Caenorhabditis elegans: one gene and its partner. The protein of the gene in region 2 purifies or fractionates together with the protein of the main gene of each other region. This does not show direct contact. Each region holds a gene or a part of one and is shown on either strand. Other genes may lie near its edges.

What was found. Proteins that work in one complex are often made in the same cells at the same time.
Region 1: the proteins of D1086.1 (region 2) and F01F1.11 fractionate together in Caenorhabditis elegans (co-fractionation; one large-scale study listed by BioGRID). This does not show direct contact.

What each region holds. Positions count from the first base shown.
Region 1 is NC_003281.10:5,868,395-5,874,756, forward strand, and holds F01F1.11 (PAP-associated domain-containing protein), read right to left. Parts: upstream 3,484-6,362; 5' UTR 3,451-3,483; coding exon 3,432-3,450; intron 3,380-3,431; coding exon 3,197-3,379; intron 3,150-3,196; coding exon 2,914-3,149; intron 2,863-2,913; coding exon 2,698-2,862; intron 2,650-2,697; coding exon 2,442-2,649; intron 2,150-2,441; coding exon 1,966-2,149; intron 1,923-1,965; coding exon 1,752-1,922; intron 1,422-1,751; coding exon 1,370-1,421; 3' UTR 1,291-1,369; downstream 1-1,290. Other genes in the region: eng-1 (mannosyl-glycoprotein endo-beta-N-acetylglucosaminidase), read right to left, coding at 8-105; F01F1.15 (DUF3456 domain-containing protein), read right to left, coding at 331-531, 663-761, 806-1,005, 1,053-1,134; F01F1.3 (MIF4G domain-containing protein), read left to right, coding at 4,661-4,730, 4,872-4,999, 5,048-5,175, 5,696-5,810, 5,860-6,006, 6,050-6,208.
Region 2 is NC_003283.11:14,097,089-14,102,997, reverse strand, and holds D1086.1 (T20D4.11-like domain-containing protein), read right to left. Parts: upstream 4,141-5,909; 5' UTR 4,089-4,140; coding exon 3,753-4,088; intron 3,013-3,752; coding exon 2,953-3,012; intron 2,906-2,952; coding exon 2,801-2,905; intron 2,754-2,800; coding exon 2,709-2,753; 3' UTR 2,307-2,708; downstream 1-2,306. Other genes in the region: D1086.12 (DUF19 domain-containing protein), read right to left, coding at 352-546, 993-1,088, 1,137-1,307, 1,623-1,718; D1086.2 (T20D4.11-like domain-containing protein), read left to right, coding at 4,369-4,494, 5,003-5,281, 5,697-5,837.

The DNA.
Region 1 (6,362 bases), on a different chromosome or scaffold from region 2:
AAATTACTTAAAGTTAACCAGTTGCTCACTGTATTGCTCGCCAACATCTTCTCGTGATTTCCAACTCCAGAGCTCTTCGAGTGTGTCAATTGGAGAAATCGTCATCTAATTATAAATAGAATTGTAAGTCAAGATCAAGAGGCTCTGCGATATTTCAATTGATTTCAACTTTACCCTTAGCATTTCACGAAAGGAAAAACTTGAAGTTTATATCACAAAACAAATCACATATAAATTAAAATTCAAACAGATAACGATATAGCACAATTTCCAGATCCCGCAAACGAGTTGAAATTCATAAATTACTAATTTAAAAAAGGAAAATTTAATTTAAAGTTCTTTTCTGTCAATTTCATCATCTGGAATATCAGAAAGATCCATTGGTTCTTCTGGAGCAGCAGGTAGAGGTGCCACATCGACAGCAGTGCAAGCACCCATTTCTCCTTGGCAGAACTGTTTGACGGGATCCTGATGGGCGGTCTTCAGGAAACCAAGAAGCTCATCTTCGTGAGAGTCAATGAAGTCGTTGCACTAAAATTTAGAAATTTAAATTAAAAAATCAAGACTGAAGTTTTCTGCAAAAAACTGAAAAAGTTCTTAATTCTCATTAGGGATTGTTTTCTAATAATAACTAGAGTTTGGAATCCCGTGCTTGAACTTACAGCGTTTTGAAGATTATATCTCATTTTGGGAGACTCATCTCCTTTCAAATGTGTGGCGTCGTTGTGAACGTAGACTGATTTTCCAGTAATTGTATTCACCTGAAGAGAAATTTGTAAAAATCTATACAATTTATGGTTCTTACCACAAGTTTATAGTGTTTCGCATCATCACAAGCGTGCTCAATGATTTCTGTCAAATGAGATTCTGAACGAGCATAGCCGATTTCCTTGAGCCCTTTTTGATCTCCAGTTGGTGAAACTCGGAAACTTCCAACTTCGATTTTCTTTTTCGGGTCGACTGCGGCGATTTTCAGCTCGAAATGGGTTACGAGGAGGGAGCAGGCTGAAATTTTCAATATTTAAAAATATATTTTAGAAAAATCTATCAACCTCCACACTCTAATGAAGAAACCGATGCAGATTGAATACCCGACAGTGATATGAGACAAACCAGTGTAGAAACAAAATGCATTCTGAATAAATGGTTAAAAAGCGTCGATAATGACCAAGTGAAGCGGAGAGAGAGAGAGAGCAAACAATGATTGGGAGAGTGGCAGAAAGAAAAGAAAAAGAACGGTGTTTGGATAGGTATCCAGTGTTTGTGTAAATGGTACTTTTCTTCACGAATAAAACATGAATATTATTCATTAAAGTTGATTGGAAACAACGTATTCAAGAGATCGAAAATTGATAAGTTAAACATTTTTTCAATTGGGAACCGGTCGACGTACACGTGGAATAATGTCGCAGAGCCGTTGTCTGGAAATTTAATTTTAATACTATTCAGATATGAACTCTGAAATCTCGTCTCAAAGATATGTTACCCGGCCTCGTCACGTACAATTTTTTCAAAAGTAGTACTGTAGTGAAAAACTAAAGAACGCTCCGCAACAGCGAGCAGCAATGAAATTTTATTTTTGGTATTTTTCGAAAAAAAGGGAGCGAAAATAGAGAAAAATTCTGTTATCCTGTCGGTAACTGAAAATATAATTGATTTTCAAATTTTACGCTTTTTCCAAAAAAAAATTACACTTATAACTGAATGCAAATTTTAAGGATTTTAAAATCGAAATTATTTTTTAAACTTACTCAAACTGCGTTCGCTTCTTCATATTCGCTTCGGAAGGCAGATCGTGTTCTCTTTTCAAAAATCCTTCATAATCTTTCCATGTAACACAAGAAGTTCCTTGTTCTCGACCACGCAACGGGCTCAACAGAATGCCCGTGTTCAGGCAAAACGGCATCTCTCGGAGCTCATTTCTGAAATTTAATTCAATGTATTTTCAAGGATTCAGGCACTTACAAGCAATCTGTAATTGCATCTCGAAAGAATCTCGTCAATGGATCCTTCAATCGACAAGCTTCTTCATATCGTTGAACACGCATTGATTCATCTTCTCCAAGTGAAATTGATAGTGGTGTCATTGGATCGAGCTGATCGTATGGGATGTTTGCATCGCTAATTCCTGTCAAATCGAGCAGAAACTCTGGAAAAAACAATAAAAATTGATTATTGGCAAGGGTATCATTGAAATTTTTTATGGATTTTTTTTCTGAGAAAATCAAAAAAAAAGTTTAGCAATTTTACAACAAAAAAATGTTTTGTTTAAATCAAATTAGGCTTATACTGTTATCAATCAATATTATTAAGGAAAAACATATAATTGCCATCTAAAAAGGAAAAAAGGTCAACATTTAAAACTATTTTTTGAAAAAACGAAAATTGTTTCCAAATATTGGAAAAAGCCCATGGATTCTCTTTTTTTATTTAAAACTTACGAGTAATAGTTGAAACAATGGCGGATGGTAAGTTAAGAATGGCTCTTCTTTGACTATTTCCAGCTCTTCTTAAAGTATATCTCCAGATCATGCATCTCGGACGGCACGCAACACAAAAATATGCTTTTATAAACTGCTTGGTTTTGTTGAGAAGTTTTGCGTTTCTGCGGAACGTCAGCAAACTGAACACATATTGAAGATCGGCATTCTAAAATTTGGCATTTTTTCATAGAAGCTGAAACAAAAAAAAACTCACAGAGAATACACCTGTTGCTCGAATATTGTAAGAAGTTTGTTGGCAATGCGAGAGATTCATTAGACTTAAATCGATTTTATCGAATTTTGACTCTGAATTTGTGTTGGTCGTCTGTCCTACAATTGTTCCTCTCAGGTCTTTAATGTTTGACTTTAGCGCATTTAGCTGAAAAATCAAAAAATGGAATTTTGAATTCCGGGCTATCAGAATTCTGACCATAATAGACGTTCCAAGCATTGCAAACCTTCCATCAGCCGCCGATGGATTCACCATACCTTCTACCAGCGATTCCATAGAAATATCTCCGAGAAATGTGGCTTCAGATATTCCGCAACGGATGGTTCTCTCCAATGAAGCTTCATTGAGCGTTTTATCCGATGTCGACACCATCACACGTGTTCCAAGCTCGATTATATCGATTTTCTCTGAGGCAATGTTTTGCTCAATTTTTTCTGAAACAATAATTGAACTTTTAATATTTTATTGATAATTTTTTTACCCATTCGATGGATTTTTTTCATTCTTTGAGTCGTCTTAAAATCTTTAATATCTTCTTTTGCATCATTATAAGAATCATATTTTTCTCCGCCCATATAGTCCTCTACATCGACTACGTCTTCCATTTCCATCATCTCATCTTCGTATGAGCCGTGTTCAGAGCTTTTGAAAGCAAACGGAATTACTATAAAGAACATTTTTTAATTTTTGAATAAAATTATTATTTTTAAACTTACTTCTATTTGAGTTATTCATATTTTTGTGGTAAATTTCTTGAAAAAAAATAATAAAAGGAAAATAGAGAATAGAGACAAACCGAGAGAGACCAGAGAAACGTTGTCCGAGAGGAGTGCACGGCCGAGAAAAGTCCAACACCTTTTTGCGCGCTAAATTTGAATTTAATTTGCCGCACAAAAATTTTCCTCCCTTTCCAGCCGCAAAATAGAATTTTCTTGAAGTTTCACATTTCCACACGAGAAAGCTAATAAAAATAATTATGTTTATAAACAATCAAGCAATTTTTGTCCTATGCAAGTATGCATGAACCGAAAACAGCGTTGGTGTTTTTATAAAACAACATATTTACAAACTCTAGGATAGAAAAATGAAAAGAATATGACATGATTCGCTAAAAAACAATTAATATCATTGAAAAACGCAAGGCAAATGAACAAAAAAGCAGACGTGAAAATTCTAAAAAGTCTACCATAAACTTTTGCGCGCCGAGACCCATCTGAAAAATACATATGTATATAATTCATGAAAATTCCAATATTTTAATTGTCTATTATATTGCTATGTTCATGTGTTTTGAGCCTCTTCTATGCTCTCCAGAGCTCTCTGTTCGCCACATGTGTTGTGTAATTCGAAACAGCCGTCACTTTTCCTCTGTTTTTCATTTTTTGAGTGTGTGATGCTGCTTGCTCTGCCTTCTGAACTTTGCCATCATGCATTTTCGAAAGAGATAAAAAATCTTGAAAGTTGAGCATGAAGCACCCAATTGTCTCTGGTGACACTTTTCACCTCATTTTCAAATCTCTTGCGTCATTCAGCTCGAGCCATTCGTCTTTCGATTTGACCCGGTTATTTTGTACAATTTTTAGTAGAAAAAATTAGTTTTTTGGGTCCTGACACGAGCTAAAAATTTTAGTATACAGTATCTGTAAGTATTCAACCAGTTCCCACAATTTTTTGAAAACTTGTTAGAAAAACTTAAATTACTGAGAAGTCTTATTATATATCAGGAAATATGAAAACTGTCAAATAGGAAACAACTTTCTGTAAGAAGAATGAAATTCTACAGTACTCGCGGGTACTGTAGCTGAAATATTTCGCTTGCTCTAGAACCCTGATCGTCAATTAAAAAAAATTGGCTAACTCGGCAATATTTGAGAATTATTAAGTTAATCGGAAATTTCAGAAATTGAAAATTTTCAGACATTTTTTTTAAATCAATAATCACGAAATGAACGATGATAAACTACGGAGCCTATTTGCATCTCTTGCAACTCTCACACAACAAGGACCAATTCCAGGTGAGCTATTTAAGAAAATTCGAAATCGTTCTTTGTATGTAGAATCAGGCAAATGTGCCTGCTCACGCCTTGATCCCGTTATTTAGTGAAAAGTGATGTGGATCGTCGCGGGACCCACAATTTTAAAAATTCGAGTTTCAGTGCAAGCCTACAGTATGCTTGCTGGTCAACATTCTACAGAAGTTCTCGCCGAACACATGAGGCTCCGATGGCTTTCGGATGGACGCTTTGGACCAGTTGCTGCAAATATACTAATGCACATCCATAAGGTAGTTCTGTACTACGGTAACCTCAAAAACCACAAATTAAAATTCCAGTCCGATCCAAAAGACATTTCATTATCCTCAAATGTGTTGGCTCTACTACTCAACGACTACCGTAACCGGCTTTCAGTTCGAAACGATTCTCGACTTATGTTCAGGAATTGTGTGAAGACACTTTTTTCGTAAGCAATTTCCAATTTTTTTTTTCGAAAGAAACTATCGTTTTATTCCAATTTTCGAATGTTTCTTGTAGTCAGACACGCAATTTTGATATCATATGATATATCATGTTGAGGTATTGTTGAATGAGAAAGGGTGTGTGCCTTTAAAGAGTACTTTAGTTTCAAAAACTCAACACTGCAGAGCTCTGATGAATTTTTATTGATTTTTCATAGTTTCCCGAAAAAAATATGTGTATTTATTAAAAACTCAAAATAAAAAAAATAGAAATACATAAATACATTTTAACAAATCGTGAGGAAAACTATTTAAGATTTTGAAACTACAGTACTCTTTAAAGGCGCACACCTCTTTTTAGTTAACATAAGCTTGTCGTGGCGAAACCAGGGACCTTATTTTTCTCACATGAATCGTAAGTATTTGCTTGCAAAGAATATAGAAAAAAAACGCGAGAACTGGAATTTTCCAACAGTAAAATTAGTAGTTGAAATTCGATGAATTCATATTGAAATATCCGTTCAGAATGTATCCAGTATATGTGAAAATGGACGAATGTGTGTCAAAATGCTTCATAAAACCAATGTTCTCATCTTTGGATGCACTTATTGATGATGCTCCAGATACCGAAGATCTAGAGGTTTCCACAGAAACATTTTTCTGAAAAATCTAGAATTTTTTAATTTCAGACAGCCGGGATACTTCTCAGCGAGAATGGTCGCGTTCTTCACGATTTGAATTCATATCTCGTCGAACGAATCATTGTAAAATTGCGTCATAAACTTATCAGTGAAGATCCAATTGTCACTAAACATGTCCGTCAAATATTCATTCATGTGAGGAAGATCAGAGAATGATCAATTGATTATTTGATTTTAGGTGTATGATCTTTGGGCATTTGGATGGAGTGAGCTGAATATTCCTGAATGTCTTCTCACTTTGAGTGCAGAAGGGAAGCTATCGATTGTTGATCAGACACCACTTCGGAAGAATGATATCAGCAAGCAAGAGTTCGGAAGCAAAGAGAGCATTGTTTGAATATATTGAAGTAGATCCTTAATATTCCCACTTTTGGTGATTTTTAGTTTTCGGGTTTCATAAAATATAAAATTTCGGTGAAATAAAACTTCATTTCGGGGTCAGTGAAATTATACAATCTTGGGGACGAGGTTGCGAAAAATCTATTCACAGG
Region 2 (5,909 bases):
ATGAAAATGATATTTACTATAAATTAGTGCTACACACTGATTAATCTGAAATTTCTATTTGGAGACAATTCCATCAGAGAGATTAGACGGAGTAGGTAGCATCGTGCTTCCAAAAATGTAATTCTAAAAAAGTAAAGTTTAAAAAGATGAAAGTTTCTTGATTTCTTGTTCATTGAACTCATCTGAATTAATTTTTATTTATATTCGAACACATTCAAATACTGTGAAAATTTGCATTATATACAATCAAATTTTCTTTTTTTGTTGATATTCTGGCTCTACCAGCTACATGTAATTTTGGAGTTGTACTTGTTGTTTTGAACAAATTTAAAAAAAAGTAGAGTTTCAAACTCAGCAATCAAAAATATAATAGAGTAATCTTCGTTTCTTTGTGAATGACAATTGAGCCTCTTCACCGCATGTCTCGCCAATGTCTGTCGGCATCTTTGGGTCTTGAAGCAATCTGCATTTTTTACTTATTCCGTCAAAACTAAAATCCTTTGCAAATGATTCGAAAATCTCCGATTCGATTTTCATTGTTTGTACCTGAAACATACCAACTGTGAGAAAGTGATAATATTTTTCAAAATTGTTGAAAATTTAAATACCTATGGTCAAATTATTTACATTTTTCGGATTGTTCAAAAATAATTATTAATCAAAAATATTGAACTTTTTCCAGCATTCATGGTTTCAGTTATACCTTAAAATTGCCTACCTGATTGTTTTCACCTACACCTACGTCGTTCTTACACAAACACCTACGCTACAAATTTATCAAGCAATCAAAGAAAATATTTTTAACTGGATAAATAATTTACACGGCTAGTTTATTTTAAGTAACTAAAACTTCTAAAAGTTTCTGATATATTAATTTTTAAATCTCATGTTTCTAATATTATTTTGTAAATTGAATTTAAAATGATTTCTATATCTTTTGAAGTTTAATAGTTATCAAAATGAAGGTAAATGTTAAATAGTAAAAAACTCACATCCTTCATGCATTTTCCAAATTCACTCTGGAGTACATCAACTTTTTTGCAAACAATCTTGAGCATTAGTCTTGGCAAAAAGCAACTTCTAGAAATCTGTAATATTTTTGATTATTTTTTTTTGCGGTGAAAGTATCCAAATACCAAACCCACAGCTTCACGTTCGCATATATTATTAATTTGATTGAATTCTTCTGAAGTAAGGTTCAAAGTTTCCGGTGAGCCCCAATGATGAGCTTCGAAAAACAATTTCCAGTTGCCGAGGGTTTGTGAAATCATTGTGCACATTAGGTAAGGATCCGAACGACCTTCTTTCTGAAGAATAAAAGCTTAATGTATTTGCTCATCTGAAAACTTGGAAGTTATTCCAGTTGCAATTTTGTACATTCAAATATTGTAAAGATAAATAAATATCAAAGTGAAACTTCTTATTAAATTTTAAATTTTGAAAATTTTCAGTTATGGTAAATCTCAAATTTATCTACAAATTTGGGCTCTCAGGTTATATACAATTTGAATTACCTTGTGTTTTTAAATAATGTTTTTTACAAGCCGTTTTTATTTAAAAATGGGACAAGTTTTAAAAAAGAATAAGGAAAAAATATAATTTCTTCTAGAAGAGTCTCTCACCTGGAGGTCGGCAGAAAATTCATTGACCGTAACATTTGGAATACATTCAATGGTATATGTGAAGAATGTGAGGAACGTTAGGAACAAGACGATCATTCTTGCAACAAAAGTTTGACAAGAGTGATTGGTTAGGAAAAGTTGGAGAAGCTCTGGTTTGGGGAACAGTTGCTCAACACATCAGCCCTTGTGTCCATCTTTTTTTTCTGCCGAGAGACCGCAGAGCACAAGGGTCCGCGGATGTTTTCAAAAAAGAACTTATTACAACACTGGAGGCCAAGGGACATATTGCTGCTGTTACAGTGTAGGCAAACAACTTTTCGGAGCAGAGTTCCTTAGAGTTTTACACAAAGGTTGGGCAGTTCTGGGAAGAAATGAAACATTGGTAGTGGAGAAGAAGGAGCAAGGGAATATTTTTGAGCGGTTAGTGTTGGTCAATTTTGATGGAAAAATAGCACTTTGGCACTAATTGTTTTCGCACAAAGAACAATCCGATTCAGACTTTGCAGTTGCTCGAGTTCAACTTCCTCGTTCTATGTCCAAGACTCCCAATATTTGCCAAGACATTGTTTTCAGTAAAAATAATATTCCGACCAGGGGTGAAAATCGAGCACAAGATCAGATTTTCTAGCATCAAGCATCAATCACCCCTTGTTTGATCAAGCTTTTCAAGCTTTCAGGCAAATTTTTGGAAAATTATTTTTTATCAATCTGTATAAATATCAAGAAAATATATATGTATACATATACGCTTGAATAATTGGAAAGCTTTCCGTATTGAGTAAGTTTTTCTTTTGCTTGCCTACTTCTTAAAAATAAATAATATTTTCCGAAACCTGTTGTTTCAAGAATAACTTGAATTGGATTTTAAAGAAAATCTACGAACATTTTCAAGCATTCAAAGAAACCAAGCTTCAAGAGTTTCCACGCCTGATTCCTACATTTGCAGATGGTTTGCGGTTTTAAATACCTATTCACACATGTGCAAAAAGAACACGAGTATTGAAAAATGCGACTCTAAGAGATAACAAGAATCTGGAAATGCAATACATAATGCATTTAGTAAAAATTTTCAGACACAATTAATTATCAGTGAACAGGGCATCCAGCAAACTTTGAGACGTAGTTGATATTCTAAATTTATTCATTTTTCAATTTTCAAAAATCCACACTAAAACTACCTCGCGGAAACTTTTCAACGTGGAATCTCCACACGCCTTTCCAAAATCTTTTTCAATACATTGCTTTTTAGCTTTGAATTGAGCACATTTTTGATCGGTTGACATCTGAATTTGTTTAATTTTATAACACAGTAAAAGCTGGAATATCTTACTCTTGATTTGTCACTGAAATACCATTGAACACACTCTGTTTTGTCGTTGCTTGCTTTCAGCTGAAATGAATAAAATTATCAAGTGGCTGAAATTTCAGTAATTTAATTTATTTTTAAATAGTTGTACATGACTTTTTTGAAACTATTGAACATTTAAAACTACAGAACAATTTTTAGTCGAAAATCAAATGTAGAGTTCAATGAAGTTACTGGTTTTTCTTTAACTCTTACTAAATTTTAACTTTTCAATTTGACATTTCCAAGAGGTTTTTTTTTGAATAATTATTTAATTTTGTATCGAATAAGGCAAAATTTTTTCAAAATTCTACGAAATATTCCAGTTTTTAACACAAATGAGGTAGCTACCTCGAATAGTTATGACAAAAATATACATTTTAAAAAACTAATAATTATTGAACCCGGTTTAATATGATTCTGTCACTTAGTTATTCTAAAAATGATTTATAGAAAAATCGAGATTTTTTGTGGTATGTTTCGAAAATCTAGCGACGTCCAGTTTGCCTAAAATTTGAAATAAATGTTTACTTGAGTTAAATTTTGAAAACAGGTTTATCGAACTTTGGAAATTTTGACTTATGAAATGCTTTCTTTCTGCAGACTAGCACAATAATAAATGTTGTGAAAATACTCTAAAATGGGACGGGAATGTTGAGTAGTAACTTGGCATTTCAAAAAACTGAAAAAGGGTTGAAAAAATCAAACAAATTAAATTTTTGAGATATTTTACGGAGTAGAGCTACTTTATTTTTAAATTGCAATTTCTGTAAATTCTAGCGCACCTTTGCTGCACATTGAGCATACGGTCCAGACATGAAGTCGATGGTCTTGCACATTGTGGCAAATTTGCTCATTTTTTCAGTGATTGCCGGACACTTGGCTGGACTAACACAACTCATGGCTTCCTTGCAATATCCTGACATTTTATTCAATGTTTCAACAGATGGAAAACCAGAATTCAATGGATTCTTCTTCATTTCATCTGTGAGTTTTGCAAGTTTTGGACGACATGTTACAGTAAGTTGAAGATCATCTTTTGAGCAATCAAGTGGAGAATTTTCAGCTTTTGATAGAAAGAGCAAAAATGGGAGAATAGTCAAAAATATAAGAAGATTCATCTTTCCGAAAATTGAAAGTGAAAATAATTGTCTCTTCTTCCTTCGCTGTTTTGTTGTTGTTTCCCTCTTTTTTTGTCATTTCTTTTTTCTTTTTTTTTCAGGTACAACTGTTCTCAATTTCTTCTCTCAATATTTTTCCGAGAAACAAACAACAAAACTTTGTTCTAATATTATTTTGTCAGCTGTCATCTTTTGTCATGTGAAATGACCCAACTCCCCCACCTTTTCTCAAAATGTTTTCAAATTTTCAAAACTATTTTTGAAAACACTCGACTCAGTTATGCAGCTCATATTTCAGCTCTTGATATTCGAGATTTTCGTGTTTTTTGGCGTTCTTGGAGCCCCATATCATGTTCAAGAAGAGTGTTCAACAATGGATCATCTTATTGATAGACATCTGACTGATGTGAGTTACAACTGACAAAAAGGGACTAGAGCCTGACAAAAATGTCTTTGTCTCAAAAATTGTGCAATTGGCAAACCATGTTAGCTCAATTTATCTGAAAATCTCTTTTACCGCCGTTTCCAACAGCCGAAGAATTTTTTTAAGTTTTTTTTTTAAATTTCTAACGGCCACCTATTAAAAAACTTTCTAGATAAATAATCCCTAAAACATTTAGTTTAAGATTTATTGGATCATTTTAAAACAGAAAAAAGTCGATTTTAATATTTTTAAGGTAATTTTTTGAGAAACTGAGATTAACGTGAGGTGGTTTGAAGAAGTCTATTTTTATTTTCAGGAAAAATATGTTTATTTTTTTTCCTTCGAGATTTCATCGCAGCACATATTTGACCGAATCTATTTTTTCAGTTTGAGTTTTGAGTTTTGAAAGAGTTTAAAAACAAATGTTTTACACAGGTAACTCAAAACCAACAACTGTTGTGAAGCCAATCAAATGCATCTCCAATTTCAGTTTTCCGAAGCTCTTCAAAGTGTGCTGGACGAAAAAAACTCGTTTGAAATGTTGAGAGGAGAAGATGAGGATAACTTTATGTTTGTCCAGGGATGTGAAACCATTGAAAGGGACCTAAATGTTATCACTTGCAAGAAATTAAGAGATAAGAATCGGAATGTTATCAAGCAATGCTATGAGTTGGATCTTGTTGGAACACCACTGTCATACTGTATTCAGAGAAAACTTAATGCTGACAAAGTCGCTAATCGTTGTGTGAAAACATATTTGAAATCAAAAGTAAGTTTGAGCAACTTGGGAAATAGTTATGAGTGGTTCATACTTTGCATACAATCCACATTTCTACGTTGTTTTCTTTCAATTGACATTATAGGCATATTGATTGCGTTTGGCCACCTTGCACACCAAATAGCAATAGGCGGAACCCGTCAAGTGTACGGACACTCAGAGAATGTCTCCTATTCACATATCCTACTCCAGCATATGATATAACACTCTCAGGGCCTTACAAAAGACCCAGTGAACTATTTTTGAAAACCCTGTCCTCTCGAGGTCAGGGTAAATGTTTTGATGATATCCTGATGTTTCAAATAACGTCCACTTGAAATTGTGAAATCACGGCTAGAACTATCGAGTTTGATTAATCTGAATCACTCTTAAATTTTTTTAAAAAACTCAGTCATACATTTTTCAGGACACACGTGAGCTTAAACGTCTTTTCGACACAAATCTGAAATGTTTGGTGGAAGGATTCACTAGCCTTTGCGGACATGAAGCGGGAAAAGTGATTTCGGAGAATTTGAAGAAAATTAAATATCTGAAAGGTATTAATTGATTTTCGTATTTAGTATGTTGTACATACATTTTTTTTTTAACTCCAAAAATATGTTTTATCTTTTCATTATTA